2 linked regions of the Tamandua tetradactyla genome follow. The protein of the gene in region 1 purifies or fractionates together with the protein of each later gene. This does not show direct contact. Links are inferred from orthologs where the notes say so. Each region holds a gene or a part of one and is shown in the gene's direction. Other genes may lie near its edges.

Region 1 (7,622 bases):
TCGTTGGCACTATTTCCAGAAGGAGGTAACAAAGGAATAATTCATTTGTGGCCTACGCTGACAGGTACAGTAGTCTCTTTGGAAGTCAGGAAGCCTATTCCTGAGAAATGTATGCAGGAAAGAGAATGAAATGGAAAAGTAACATGGCAGTCAGAAGGCTTGGTGGCTAGGGATGGGGAGTGCATCAGGAATGAGGGGCTTGAGATGTTAGGAAAGAGAGGGAAATAGGAAAGTATTTTGGCATACGTAGGTGTGCCAGGTCTCCTAAAGGAAGTGGAGAGCTTAGGCTCCTCTATGCCTTCACAAAAGTCTTCTATCACCCCACTTGACCAATGTTTGAGAATAGTGTGACTTCCTGGCCTATCAGCCTAGGGAATAGAGGGCTGGACTTTAGACGGCTCCTTCCCTCTGGGGAGCTGAAAGGTCCAGAGGAAAGAAGCCTCAGTCATCTGTGTCAGATACCATGAAGCCTTCTTGAAATGGGGACCTCAGTATTGCACAACTCCAGGGGATGCCATTCTCATTGTAGTCTAATTTAGCTCCTAGAGTTGTATGCTGCAGCATGTGTGGCTCTGCTTGACAGCTCAGTAGAATCAAATAACTTTCCAAAAATCTCCAGATAACAAAAATTCATATTCCAGTGAATTTCTTAACTTGTTTTCGTTAATAAGAAGTTCTGTACGTAAACAGTCATTAAAGCACTTTTTTTCTTTTTTTTTTAGGCGCACGGTACAGGAATCAAACCCGGGTCTCCTGCATGGAAGGCAAGCATTCTACCACTGAACCACCCGTTCACTTCATTAAAGCACTCTTAAAATGTGGTTGTTCTAAATTACGTTTTTCCCTTTCCTTTCCTTCTCTGTTACTTAAGTTTTTGAAGGCATTAATCAAGGCTTATTATATTTTCACTAAGAGAGTGTTTCTGAATTAGAGGGGGTAGGAAAGCATCATAGAACTACTTGGGAAGTTTTTGCAAAATACACCTGCCCAATATATCAAGAGAAGGAATTAAAAAATGTGATATATTCATGGAATGAAATCCATTCTACAATAAAAATGAGTAAAACTGCTGATACATTCAATAGTGAGAATGAATCTTGTAAACATTATATTGAACAAAAGAAGCCAAACATAGAAGTATACTGTTCCATTTATATAAAGTTCAAGAACTAGTAAAACTAGTCTGTGGTGGTAGAAGTCAGCCTGAAAGGGTCAGACTAACTGAAAGGGGGCACAAGGTAAATTTCTCAGGTGATGGACATTTTCTATATCTTGACTGGTTGGGGACGTCATGCAGATGTAAACATATGAAAAAGTCATCGAGCTCTATGTACACTTAAGATTTGTTCTTTTTTATTGAGTGTGAGTTATACTCGATAAAATACTATTTAAAAATGTTATAGGGTGTGCACGAGTAGTTCAGTGGTAGAATTTTCACTTATTGTTCAGGAGACCCAGGTTAAATTCCTGGCCCATTGCACTCATAAAAAAAAAAAAAATTGAACATATGGTGCTGCAATAAAGGGATTCACACGGAAAAGAACGAAATGGAACCCCCAAATGCACAGCATGCAAAAAAAAAAAAAAGAAAAGAAAAGAAAAATAAAAATGTTATATATATACACACACATACCAACTCTAATCTCTGCCACCAACCCAGGGAATCAGAAATAGGGAGCAGAAGATATAGAGGGGATGTGCTTTTTGAAAAAGCTCCCCAGTTCCTCTCATTTCTCCTTTCCTCCATTACTATGTATTGCCAAAAATCCCTTTTGGAATTGGTAGTAGGCTAGGGATAAATACATGCACACATACCTATGACTTTAAACATTTTAGAAGGCCCCCAGGGAAGAGTAAAGTTTTCCTAACAAAGCATGTTTCCTTTCCGGTTTGCCTTGATTGGGAACCTTATTTTGTTTTGCTTTTGAGGATTTCAGTGTCTTTAAGGGATATGATGACTACATTAATATGCGAAACATACTGGAAGCCTGTGGGATTCCTCCTGGCATCCTGTGTTAGCAGCTTGAAGCAGGCTTAGAACAAGTTAAAATACTTTTGGGGGGAAATTTAATGTCGACCGTTCTTAAAATGGCAAGGCTCTAAAGTGATGTGTAGTGATATATTCCAAAAACCAAACTCCTGTTCATCCTGATACATATTAAAGCAGATTCAAACGTGGATGCCAGAGACTTAGGAAATGAATTGCCTTTTTTGAATCGAACCTTGTGACTAGCTTTTGTATATTTAACCAGAGAAAGAAAGGTCTTTTTCATTTAAAGTTGGGGTTTTATTATTATTTTTTTCAATCTTATGTGTACTGCTTTTATTGTTCTACTCTAGAGAAAAAGAAATGTGGCTGCTCAGATACACATTACAGGCTTTTAAAGTAACAATGAAGTTTTTTTTTTTTTTTTACATTCACATGTAACATTATTCAAATTTAAAAATCTAGTTCACAGGGTTAGCCCTAAATCTTAGCTTAATTTACCAATGAACACTCATTGCTATTTACTGGATTCTAAACATCCATTTTGATTCCACCACATCCCCACTGTATCTCGGCTTGATTGCTTCGCTTCCTTCAAAGGCATGCCATCTGCCTGGAGGAGTGTACTTTCCTGCAAGTTTAGACCTGGAAAGTCCTCGGAGATGAACTCATCCAACCCAGCCCCATCCTCCATGTCACACTCCACTAAACTTGAGCCCAGAGGTGAAGTGGCTTGCTCAGGGTCACACAGCTGGTCAGAGGCAAAACCAGAATTCTGATATCCAATTGCAAGTCCTTTGCTCTGTCTTCTACATCACAATAGCCTCAGTGTGCTGCGCTTGGTACAACACACAAATGCCACCTCCCATCTCTCAAGAAAGAGCGGGAGTTGACGGTCCACACTGAGTGCCTACAGGCATTTCTGTATCCTGAATCCTGTTCTGGTCAAGTTTCCAAAAAATGAAGAGCTTGTATTTTGGGTGGAGGAGACTAGGGTTAATTATCATATTTTACTAGCTTTGGTGTGACCTTTGGTGAGCATGCTAATTTCTTCAAGCCTCACTTTCCTCATTTAGGAAATGGGGATAATAATGCAGGAGCATGTGGTGCGCTTAATTTGCTCCCTAATGTTTCCTTTAGAAATTCAGCAAATCCTTATCAAGGCTATCTACTTCCTTGAATGTTTCAGAATCTCTTCCTTCCTCCCCTTTGGTATTTGTGTTGCTCTCTGGGTCCTCTGTAAGTCTTTGTATTTCTAGAGATTGGCAAATGCTCAGTAGACCTCAATCACTGCAGATGTTCATTTGGTGGCTACAGTTAAGGCCTTGGTCTTCGGTTTTCAGTTTTCCTCCCCCAAAGACCCAGGATTTTGTACACTCTCAGGGTATTAAAGCAATTTAGGGCAATATCTTCTCCGACAAGGTCTTAAAGGTTCCTTTTCAGCCTGAGAAAGGATGAATTTGGGTTTGAATCCGGGCCAGATAACAGACCCCCTAGGACATGTTTTTAACAATGGGAAGGGAATACGGAAAAAAACGTAGTCAAGCCTTTTAATTGTACAGCTATTGAAATCAAGGATCACAAGGGCTGGGATACTCTGCCAATCTCCTCGACACCAGCAGGGCAGGGCCCCAGACCCGGGTTCCCCCGCCTGGCTGAGAGCTTTTTCCATCACACCACCGCCGCTCATAAACTCCACCTCCGAAAGTACTGAGGAAGTTCCCTCCCAGAGCCTTCCTAGGCAGGGTGGGGCGATTCTGTGGCATGGCACGGACCAGGAAAACGACATATTCCAACTCTCATATAGGTTGTTTTTAGGATTCCTGGGGGGAAAGGCAGGGGGGAGGGGTGGCTAAGACACCTGGCCCGGTACCGGAAGGTTCAGGGACCCTAGGAGAGAGAGCTCCGAGATGGCTTATGCGGTGAGGCCACCTTTCTTTCTCCTGGCCTGTGTTCCCCCGTGCGATGGCTGCAAGGGGGTGTCCTGCTTGGAGGGCTCCCCCAAGTAAGGTGGGCAGTCCTTGCTGTAGGTCGGGGTTGGGCGAGTTGCGGCCGCGGCCCAGCCCTTGTCTTCGGAGGTCCGAGTGGGATTTTTTTCCTTCCTTTCCGCTCCACCCCCACCCCACCCCCCACCGCGCCAGGAGCGGCGCAGTGTTGGGGTGCGGGGAAGGTGCGGTCAGTTTTTCTTCCCCACTCCCACATTTCTTACTCCAGGAAGTTTCACCTCGTCCTCCTCCCTCAGCCCGCAACTTTTAAAACATTTTCAAAAACTACCACATTAAAAGTGCGCGACTTCCCCGGGGCCTGCAGAAGGAGCTCCCGCAGCCCGGCATTCCTTGGATTCCAGCGCTGTGACGTCCCCGAGGACGGCGCGCCTCCAGCTCGGGCGCTCGGGCTCCACGTTTCAGCGCTCCCACACACTCACACACACTCACACGCGCGCACACGCACAGAGACTCGCTCGCGCGCGCCCTCCGCGCCGCATTCCTCTCCGCCCCCGGCCGCGCGCGCCTCGCGCTCCCTCCGCGCTCCCTCCCGCCTCCCGCCTCCCGGCCCCTGCGCCGCCGAGCCGGGCTCGGGGGTGGGGGAGTCGGGCCGCGGGCGCCGGCTCGGTCCCCTCCCACTCGCACGGCCCCTTCCTCCCTCCTCTCCCGGCTGTTTGCATTTCCTGCCGCTCAGGTCTCCCGGCCCCTAAAAGTTCGTCCCAACTTTTTCTCCCTGGAGCGCAGCGGCCGCAGTCGCGGGGGCAGGTTGCTGCGTTTCTCCTCCCTCCGTCCCCTCCTCTCCTCGCTCAGTGCCCGAGGGAGCCGCAGACGCAGAGTGGCCGCTGGCGGTCCTTCCCCTCCCACCTCACCCATCCTGCCCGGCCTTCTCGCCTCGGCCCCTCTCCGGCGGGACAGACCGGTCCTTAGGTTTTTCTTATTTTTCTCCTCCTTTGCTCCCTTTTCGCGGACTCCCGCGCCCGGAACGGAGCGGAAACCTCCCTCCCCTTTCGCCTCCTCCGGCTCCTGCCCTCCGCCCCTCCTCCGCCAGCCACTGGGATCAGTTCCTTGGGGAATTGGGGCTCCGCCGCCACCGCGGAGGAGAGCGTTTCCGCGCGGGCCCCAGCGGCACCGACGGGGGCCATGTAAGCAGGTAAGCGCCGTGGGGGCCCGCGCAGTCCGGGCCCGAGGTTGGAAGCCGCCTCCGTGCCCGGGGCGCCTTGCAGAGTCCTGGGCAAATACTGGCACCGCCAACTTGCGATGGGCGGCCGGAAACGCCTTGGCAGGGCAGAGGAGGCGCGAGGTGGGAGCTGCCCGCAGTGAGGCGCACAGCTTGTCTGGGGGAGTTGAGCTCGAAGGTGAGCTCCGTCTGGATAGTTAGTAGTTAAACCCACACCTTCTCCCTCTCCTCCCGCATCCCCTTCTGCTTTTGGGGAGCGGGAGAGGGCCTGGAAAGGGCAGTCAGATGCCCAGGCCGTTGAGGCAGGAGGATGAAAGACGCATGACGTTGCAGCCGCTCGAGGGGAGAGGGACACAGCTCCCGGTCCCCACCCCTGCGACAGCATCTTGGGAGGGAGAGAAGAGGTATTTTCATGCCCTTTTACTAGGCCCCATGTGTGCCAACGAACTCTAGGCGTCTTGGCCCCTCCTGGATGGTGGGTCGGACTGGCTTCCCGGGAAAACCTGTGACCACATAATTTCAGAGCAGGTCTCCACCTCACACTTCTCAGGTTCTGAGAATTAGCTATCTCCCCCCCTCCTACCTCCCCCTTGGTGATCCCGAAATCTGGTTTTTGAGTACTTGTAAGTGGGTTTTCCACCTTTTCTTCTGGAGGGAGTCCAGTTCCAGCCTCCCTTTCCCTTTCACCTCTTTCGTTCTTGTCACCCCACCTCCATCCTTACTTAAAATTGTAGGGATTTCGGCACCAGGCTGTTGAGGGGACAGATTCTTACCGGTTATTTGTGAAGGTGGGGGAATGTCTAGACTGCAGGCTGCAGGTACTGTTACAGGGTTTCAACCAGTGTGCTAATTTCCTGTAGTGGATTGGTTCACTCATTCATTCAACAAACGATGTATTCAGTTTCTACTCTGTGCTAGGAACAGGGGATACAAAGTTGCTACAACAAGATAGTCTAGGAGTCAACAGCCTGGTGGAGGGAACCCACTTTACCACTGCAGTGCAATGCCAATTTCTGCCAGAGGGGAGGAAAGGCTTGTTGGAGGGGATGAACTGTGCACTGGGCTTTGAGGTTGGAGGTGGAGCTCACCTGGTGGAGTGATTGGGGGTATGCATTCGAGGTAGAGGAAACAGCTTGTGGAAAATGAATACCCAGTCATCTCAGCAATGAGTACCACAGGGACAAAAACGTCAGACCTAGCTATTTGGGGGCCTGAGGGGGATTTATGGCCCAGTAGGTGCAGTGTTGCTGTGTGAGCATTTAGTTTTTATGCGTGTCAGGAATTAAACTGGCATGCCATCCACTCGTGGGAAATAGGTAGCTCCCACAGGAGAGACAGTCTCCCTGTTCAGACACTTCTCCATGTCTGAGGCTGTTTCCAGAACAAGCAGCAGTTATGTGACCTGCATTTTGTTTGGCACTAATTGGCCCATTCATTAGAATGGTACTGATTTCCTTTTAAAGACCAGTGGGTGATGATAACAGTGCAACATTACAAAACCTTATATCAAAGTTTCCCTACCATTTGGCGATGGGGTTCAAGATTGTGCCATCAAAATGAGCGGGAGCAGAATGGTGTGATGTCGTTTTGTCGCATCTGAGTCGGTGTCTGTGATGTGCAGAGTTGATTCATGTCGGTGTCATGGTGTTTGTAATAGTATTCTCTAATAATAGGGATGTCGTTATTATTAATGTTATTATCGCTTTAGCACAGTTACAAAGGGCCAATTTTCTTTCCTCTGAAACTTGGTATAAACTAAATATGTTCATGCAGGTGCTTGCAGCTTAATGTCCCAGGAGTCAGTGAATCCTGTCTAGAAAATTTTTTAGTGCAGTACCGTTGCGTGGGGTTTGTGTTTCAAGGGTGCCCTTGGCTGGCTGCAGTGGTGTGGTGGTAGTATTCATAGAATCTAAATCCTGGCTGAGGTGGCGGAGGTCCAGGTTTCTGTGACCTCGGGTCAGTAGATCAGAGTGGAAATAACACACCGGCCCCACAATTTCCAGTACATATTCAAGCCTCTCCACCAACATCTCCTCCCAAGAACAGCCCCTTTATAGAAGTTTTTCTGCAAGGAAAAGATGCGTATGAGAGAAATGACCACAAGAGAAGCCCTTCCCTGCTAGTACTAGGTATCTGTCTGCCTAGCTTCCATCATTGGCTTAAAGACAGTTACCCTGTGTTTGAAGCAGACTAATTTATTCTAGTTCATGTGTTGTGTGTGGCATTGACAGCTGCAGTGGAAAGAACAGTTATTTTAGTGTAGAAGAATCATAAAGAATTTACAGAAAAATCGGTTTTGGGGAGGATTTTTTAAAATTTAAATGGTTTTATTTACACATGATATAATCCATCCTTAGTGTACAGTCACTGGTTTTGGGTATAACCACATAATTATGCATCCACCACCAATATGAGAACTTTCTCGTTTCTTCTGGAAAAATAAATTCCCGTATCCCTTATATCATCCTGTTAC
Region 2 (7,553 bases), on another chromosome or scaffold:
CCAATTCCCACCGCAACCACAGTGTACCAGCATCGGCATTCACCTTCTCCCTCCTGACCCCAAAGTGGAAGCATCTGTCCCCAACCCCACCAAGGTAAGTTCCCCCAGCCTGTGCTCTGATCCCAGGCCCTCTTGCTTCCTCAAGGCTCTCTGCTAGACCCACTAATTCTCCCAGCGGTGTCACCACCATCACCATTTCCAGCCACACGCAGATGAGCTCTGTAATTTCACATCTTTAAGGGAAAACCTCTCTTGACCTTGCATTCCCCCTTCAGCCACCTCCCCCTTTCACTGTTCCTCTTCCATGTGAAACTCCTCAAAAGAGTTGTTGATTACTTTCATTTCCACTTTCTCACCTCCTATTTCCTACCCCCCTACACACCTCCAGTCACCCCGTAGTCCCCAGGACCCCATTCCATGGCGCTTACCAGGTCACCAACCTCCTTGCTCCCCCCAAACAAAAATGACCTGGATGCCCTTTGTGACACCTGGATGCCACTGACTTCTCAGCTGCATTTGTCATCCCTTCTCGAGACACCATCTTCACTTGGTTTTCCTTCTACGCAGTCACTCCTTCCCAGCCTCTTTTTCCAAATGTTTTTATGGAGGTAACATATATAAAGTGCCACTTTAGCCACTGTCATGATTGCACTTCAGTGGCATTAATTACGTTCATAATGCTGTAAAGCCAACACCATCATCTAGTCCCAAAATGTGTCATCACCCAAAGCAGAAATTATATAACCATTAAGCAATGACTCCCCATTCCCCGCCCCCTAAAAGCTCTAATCTTTCTGTCTTTATGAATTTGCCTAGTGTAGATATTTCCTATTGGTTGAATCAGACAGCATTTGCCTTTAGTTTCTTTCACTCAGCATGTTTTCAAGGTTTATCTATATTATAACATGTATCAAAAGTTCATTCCTTTTTGCAACTGAGTCCATTGAATGGAGACACCCCATGTGGCTTATCCATTCATCGGTCAAGGGACACCTTTTGGCAATTGTAAACAATGCTGCCCAGAATGCTGGTGTACGAGTATCTGCTGGAGTCCCCACTTTCACTTCTTTGGGGTCTACACGGAGGACTGGGTCATGCAGTAATTCTCAGTTTAACTTTCTGAGGAACCCTTCCTGGCCTCTTTTGCCGTCTCCCGCTCTGTCAGACCTCTATTTGGGGCTCTGGCCTCAGAAACGACCACAGGGTGGCTCAACCCTGGCAACATGTGGACTCGTCTGGGAGCCTTTAAAAAACATCCCCATGTCTGGGTCCACATCAAGGGGTTCAGATTCCAACAGTCAGGGTGGGGCCTGGGCATCTGGGGTCTTTTGTATGAAATTCCCCCAGGGGGTTTTAGTGTGCCTCCAAGGTGGAGATTTCACTGCCCTACGTGATCCCATCTGGTCCCAGGTAAGACCATCTAAACGCTGACGACTCCCAAAGGTGCACCATGGGTCCAGGCTTCTCTCCTGTGCTCCAGATCTAAGAATCCAATTGCACACTTGACATCTCCGTATTTAATGTGGGAGGCTGGGGGAAGGGAGGTTCCTTTCAGTGCAGACTCAGGGTCTGGGGGGATCACAGATCCTGCCATCTGAGCAGGAAACTGAAAGATGATGGAGCTATGGGGAGGCAGATTTTGCAGATTTGCTTATGGAAGCACCTTCTGACATGCTAAGTCTTTCCAGGATGGCTCAGGCTGCCGTAGAGCGCTTGTCACCAGAGATGTGCAAGTTGAGGCCAGGAGGCTCCTGGCCAAGGTGGCTGCTGCTGAGACTCCTCATTCCCACCACAACAAGCCCAAGCCCTGCCCTTGCCAGCTCTGCTAATCCCAGCACACACTGGAGGCTACCGGGAGAGTTAGGGTCACGGCCAGAACTGGAGCCCAGGACTCTGGATCCCTGGCCTGGCACGCTTTCCTTCATTACAAATATCAGCCTCTCTGCCTCCCGCAATTTCCAATCAGACAATGGATGGGAAAGTCCTTGCAAGCCTCCAGGGAACTAGGGGTCTGGCCCAGGAGCTGCAGGAGCCCCAGCCACCAGGGGGCACTGTGTTCTAGCCAGGGTCCTGCTGCTACCCACGGGCTGCACGTGCAGAGAGCCCCACGGTGGTGGGGGATGGGGGGTGGACTTGGGGGCTCTAGCCAGGCCCTGAGCCTGACACTGACCCAAGGACCAGACCCCAGTTCTTTCTGCTGCAGGACAGCCAGGACACCCAGGCTGCCACTTCTTCCTTTGCTCATTTGCCATTTTGCTTTCTCAATCCTTTCTTCCTTCCTTCCTCTGTTCAATTCACTTTGCCATGTGCAGGCACCAGGGAAACGGTGTGGAGAAGATAGTCATGGGACTATCTAATGGGAACAAGAGGCATTCGAGAAAGAAAAACACAAAATATAACATCAGATAGAGGTAAGTGCCACGGAGAAAAAATAAAGTAGGGTAAGGGACCAATGTATCGTGAGATGGTAGGGGTTGGCTATTTTAGATAGGGTAATCAATTAGGCCTCGTGGAGGAGGTGTCATCTGAGCAGGAAACTGAACAAAGTGAGAGAGTCTGTTGTTTAGCTATCTGTGAGAAGGTATTTCAAGCAGAGGGAGCAGCAGGTGCTAAGGCCCTGAGGCAGGAATGTGCCTGGCACATTGGGGGAACCGCGAAGGGGGCCAACGTGGCGGAAGGAGGGTGGCGGCAGGTGGACTCAGTTCATTAGGGGCATGTAGGTCACAAACCTGTGGATTTTAAGTGCAACACCAGCTCCCTGGAATAGGAAAGTCACGAGGTAACAAGGTGTGATTTCTGTTTAAAAATATCACTCTGCGACCTGCAGAAGAGTTTGGAGGGGGGCAAGAGTGGAAGCAAGGAGACCCGTGAGGAGGCAGTTACAGATGTCAGGCATAAGATGACAATGGCTCAGACAAGAGGGGCAGCAGAGGCTGGAAGCGACCAGAGGTGGGACCTATTTTGAAGGTGGAATTTGCAGACTCTGAGGGATGAAAGAGAGAAGAGAAAGGAAGCGCGACTTCACAGTTTTTACTGAACCAATTGGACGAATGATGGTGCCATTTACTTAGAAAAGGGAGGAAGAGATCAGAGAGGTGGGAAAATCGTATTGGGACACGATGGTCTGAGGTATCTAGTGGGCATTCAAGAACAGTTGTCCAACAGGCACTGGATTTTGGAGCCTGGAGAGATCAGGGCTGGGCATAAAACGTGGATATCTTTGGCCTGCAGGTGGTATTAAAAGCCATGGGACAGGATGGGGTCTGAGAGAGAGAGAGAGAGAGAGAGAGAGAGAGAGAGAGAGAGTAAAGAGAGGGAGAGAGAGAGTAAAGAGAGAAGAGGGCTCTGATAGCTAAGTTGGGAGGCATATGAGGTGGGATCCGGGGAAGAGGAGCAGATAGTCAGGAAGCCAGGGAAGAGTGTTTCCCGGAAGAGGGACCATCAGAGGAGGCTGGCCCGGCGCCGAAAAACTGCCACTGATTGGATAACCCGGAGGTCACTGCAGACCTTGAGAAGAGGATGTCAACCTCCCCTGCCGCCTGGCGGAGCCGCCGGGGTGGCAGCGCCGGGGTGGGCGCTGGGGATAGTCGGGGGCGGCTCTCAGGACACCCCAACTGGAGGCGCTGCCTGCTCAAAGGGGAGGGTAGCAGGACCCAGCCCACCTCCCCCGTGTGCGGTAGGCGCTGGGGGAGCAGCCTCTGCTCGGGGGAGGGCAGGGGAGGGCAGGCTCAGGGGGCGCCAAGGACCCCCTCCATTTCCTCCCTTTTTTTTTTTTTTTTTTTGCAGAACCTAGCTTCCAGCTCGCCCGTCCCTCCTCGTCTTGCCCCACTAAGTCCTTCCGATTTAGAAATTCTGGAGCTGCCGCTGGCTACGCCTTTCGCCAAGCAATATCTATCCGCACGGCGAGACCCTGGAAAGCGGGTAAGCGTCCACCATTTTTCCGAGGAGGAAACAAAAGTTCAGAGAGGAGCAATGTTGCTCAGGTCTGTGTGGTGTCAAAGCCCGCTTTCTTTTCACTACGCCAGCGGGACGCGCAAAGGGTCGGGCGAGACGCTGCCCAGGCAGGGTCTGCCCCACGCGGTTCCTGCAGCCCTGGCCCCGCCCATGAACCCTTTTGTACCCGCCCATCGCCCCACCCTAGATCCCTCCCCACGGAAGAGACCAGCTGGGCAGCGCCCTCCAGCTCCAAGATAGGCGGGGCTTCGTGGTTGGGCGGGGCTTTCCACGGCCCGAGTCGTCGGTCGCGGATGGGCGTGGTCTGTGCGTGGGCGTGGCCTCTGGCTCCGCCCCCGATCGCGGGCTCAAAGCGGACGGCGGCCGCGGGGGCGGGGCCAGAACCCGGGCCGCCGTTCCCAACGCGGCTCCCGGGAGCCCGCGGCCCAGCAGCGCCCCGGCGGGGCCGAGCAGGTACGGGTGACCGCGCGGGGCGTCTCGGGGCTGTCCGAACGGGGGATCAGGGGTCTGCTGAGCTACCACAGGGGGCATTAGGGGGTCGTGGCCGGCGCTGCACTTTCTCCCACGGGCCGAGGCCCCTTCCCCCGCCCCCGCCTTCCTGTGGCGGAGCCGATTGGCGCCTGCGCCGCTTCCTGCGGCCGGGACCCGGCCAAAGCGAGGGGCCCCGGCGGGGGACCAGAGGGAAACTGAGTCACGTCGGAGTGGAAGCAGGCCTGTGTGTGGGCCCCGCTGGGTTCCAGGATGGATCATCCCCTTCCTGGCCACGCTTTGGGGGGCCCGGCCTCCACCAATCTTAGCTGGGGCCGCGCCTCACCTCCCCACCCCCAGCGCCCAGGGGTCCCGCCCTGGCCGCCAGCAGCCTCGGCCCGTCCCGGAATGGCTAGGACCCGTTCCAGCCGCCAACCTCCCCCTCCCCCTCCCTCCCCCTGCCTTCTCCTCCCCCTCGCGTCCCGAGCCCCCGTGTGCTCCCTCCACTGTCTCTCCGCACAGTGTCAGCTTACACGCCTTATATAGTCCGAGCAGGCTCCAGCCGCGGCCTGCCTGCTGGGACCTGGGGGCGGGGGAGAGAAGGCCGGCCCCTGACTCAGGCCGCCCCAGGCTCCCACTGCCCCAGGCTCCCGGCTGGCTTGGTGGGGGCAGACCTTGCCAACCTAGCCTGGACACCTCCCTCTGGCTGCAAAGAACCTCTAGCCTGGATGCGTGTTCCCCACCACCTTCCCAATCCCTGGGGATGGGGGGCTGCTCCTAGTTCTCCAGGGTGAGGTCTGTCAACCAGCTGCTGGCGGTTCACACCCAGGCCTGACAAGGTGCCTGCTTACCCGATCCCCGTGTGTGCAGGGCATGGCCCATGCTTCCCTGGCACATGTCCAAGGCTCATGTCCACAGCTTGGCCCTTCTCCAGCCCACCATGCCCACCACTCACCTTCTCTTCTCTCCTCCCAGGAGCAGACACCATGGATTCCTTCAAGGTGGTGCTGGAGGGGCCAGCTCCCTGGGGCTTCCGGCTGCAGGGGGGCAAGGATTTCAATGTGCCCCTCTCCATCTCCCGGGTGAGCCAAGGCTGAGCCCTAGGTTGGGAAGAGGGGTCTCTCAGGGGCCTTTGGGTGCTGGGGTCTTTAGTGTAATGGGAGAATTCCAAGCAGAAGGCAGCCAGGGACCAATAAGTCAGAGAGCATCCAGGTGGAGAGCTGTGGTGGACCTCTGCCCTGCCCAGATGGAACAAGGCCACAGGGATTCCCCATCCAGGTGGATACAGGGAGAGAAACCCCCACACCTTCCTGAGCACTGCATTGCACCACATACCATTCCGTGAAGCTCCAGTGGCCTACCTCTGAGGCCAGGCAGGTGCCCATTCTGCAGGACGGAAACCTGAGGTTGCAAGAGGAAGGGTCTAAGCCCCTTAAGTGAGTAGTGCTTGGAGCCAAGCCCCAAGCTAGACACTGTAAGATTTCACTTCCGCTTCACAGCTGCCTAGGGAATAGGAATTGCCATCCTATTTTTTCCAGTCCAGGGATCCAAGAGAAATGGAGCAGTTTAGTGATTCCATGCCACTGGGACTAGGCCTGCAGTTTTGGTGGGTGGGAGAAGGGGGTCTCTTTCCAGCCTCTTTGAGGCCTTCCGTCCCCACCCACTGGGCCCATTCAGGATGCGGTGGCCTTTGACCTCTTGCAAGGGTGGGCAGCTAGGGCAATCTCCAGGGCTCTGACTTTAGCTCCAGAGAGCCCTGGTAGGGGTGGAGCTGGGAGCTGGCCCCTCCCTGTGGCAGGGGGATTGCCTTATAAGCCCAAGAATGCAACCCCACACTGGGATAGCCAACGGGTAGCAGGAGTCTCCAGAGCCCAAAAAGGGCTGGTCTGGACCTGGACCCCAGAATGCAGTCAGTGGATCCCTCTGGCTAAGGGGTGGTCCAGGTCAGATCCCCTGCTGGTCAGCAGTCCCCCACCCCAGCTGTGGGATCAGTTTGTGGGGCACAGAACAAACTGCCTGCCCAGAGTAGGTGAGGCCAGCCCTTAGGCTGGTGACTCGGCTCTCACTGTGGCCTGGGGGTTAGAAGAGGGTGGGGACTTCCTGCCCCGACATCCGCCAGCTCCGAAAGGCCACCCAAGCGCCCAGTGGGCAGGCAGCCGTTGGCAGGAAATCCAGGGCAAGCACAGCCTTGAGGGGGCCAGGGGGTGGTCCAGGTACTACCCAGCTTGAGAGAGGCCCAAGGTAGAGTCTGTCTTAGGAGATGAGCTTGGTGGCCCGGGCAGGCTAGGGTCTAATCCTCTTCCCAGGGACGCTTCCACAGGGTCCCCCTGGAACCTGCCCCGCTGTGTAGCCAAGGGCACTGTTCCCCTTACCACACATGCGCTTTCAAACACATATTCTCAAGCCTTGCCAACCCTGAAAAGCTACCCTGCATCCCTGTTCCCTGGGAAAGTGCTGGCCAGTGTGGCGGGGAGGAGCCCTGGACCCTGGCTGGTCTCTGAGCCCCAGGGTCTTCATTTGTCGGGGTGGGCCGCATAGTAACCTCGGATGGACTTTCAGATGTGGCCTCTTGGGGGCACTCTGGGCTCAGGCTCCCTCCTCAGCTGCCCCTGCCCATTGGGTGGAGCCACCAGCTGAGCCCAGCCCTGGAGTTGGACCCACCCCAGGGGGGTGGGCTTTTTTTTCTAAGCTGGGCCAGCCCCCTCCCCCTTCCCTGACCCCAGAATGGAGGGAGGGGCTAGGGCTGGCTGTGGGCCCAGGCTGGGAGATGAGGTAATGTCTGGGACTGGGGGGTTGGGCTGCTCAGTGGAGCCCTCAGGCTGACTCACCTCACCCCTTGCACTGTTCAGCCCCCTGGCTTTTCCCCTCCTTGGTCGCTCCAGCCTTAACCCTGTCCCTGGCCTGAGGTCCTCCCTGCTTCTCTCCACCAGAACCACCACCTCCCCCAGAGCCCTCACTGGCTTCTCTCCACCACTCTGACCACTCCCCTGCCCTCCTCACGCCCCATCCAGAAGCCAACCCCTTCTGTCCACCCCAAGACCCCGAGTCCTATACCTCCCAGGAGCTGCCCCATGTGGGTAGGGAGTGGCCCGACCTGGTTTCCTTTCTACTGACTCACTGTGACCTTGAGT

Evidence for each region.
Region 2: the proteins of PTPN14 (region 1) and PDLIM7 purify together in Homo sapiens (affinity purification with mass spectrometry; 3 studies listed by BioGRID and IntAct, counting the BioPlex papers as one, with this or other methods). This does not show direct contact. The link is inferred for Tamandua tetradactyla from reciprocal best matches to the Homo sapiens genes PTPN14 and PDLIM7.

The regions. Positions count from the first base shown.
Region 1 is NC_135330.1:74,016,556-74,024,177, reverse strand, and holds the start of PTPN14 (tyrosine-protein phosphatase non-receptor type 14), read left to right. Parts: upstream 1-4,568; 5' UTR 4,569-5,122; intron 5,123-7,622. UniProt on the Homo sapiens protein: Protein tyrosine phosphatase which may play a role in the regulation of lymphangiogenesis, cell-cell adhesion, cell-matrix adhesion, cell migration, cell growth and also regulates TGF-beta gene expression, thereby modulating epithelial-mesenchymal transition.
Region 2 is NC_135346.1:59,258,143-59,265,695, reverse strand, and holds the start of PDLIM7 (PDZ and LIM domain protein 7), read left to right. Parts: upstream 1-4,322; 5' UTR 4,323-4,407; intron 4,408-5,397; 5' UTR 5,398-5,408; coding exon 5,409-5,504; intron 5,505-7,553. UniProt on the Homo sapiens protein: May function as a scaffold on which the coordinated assembly of proteins can occur. May play a role as an adapter that, via its PDZ domain, localizes LIM-binding proteins to actin filaments of both skeletal muscle and nonmuscle tissues.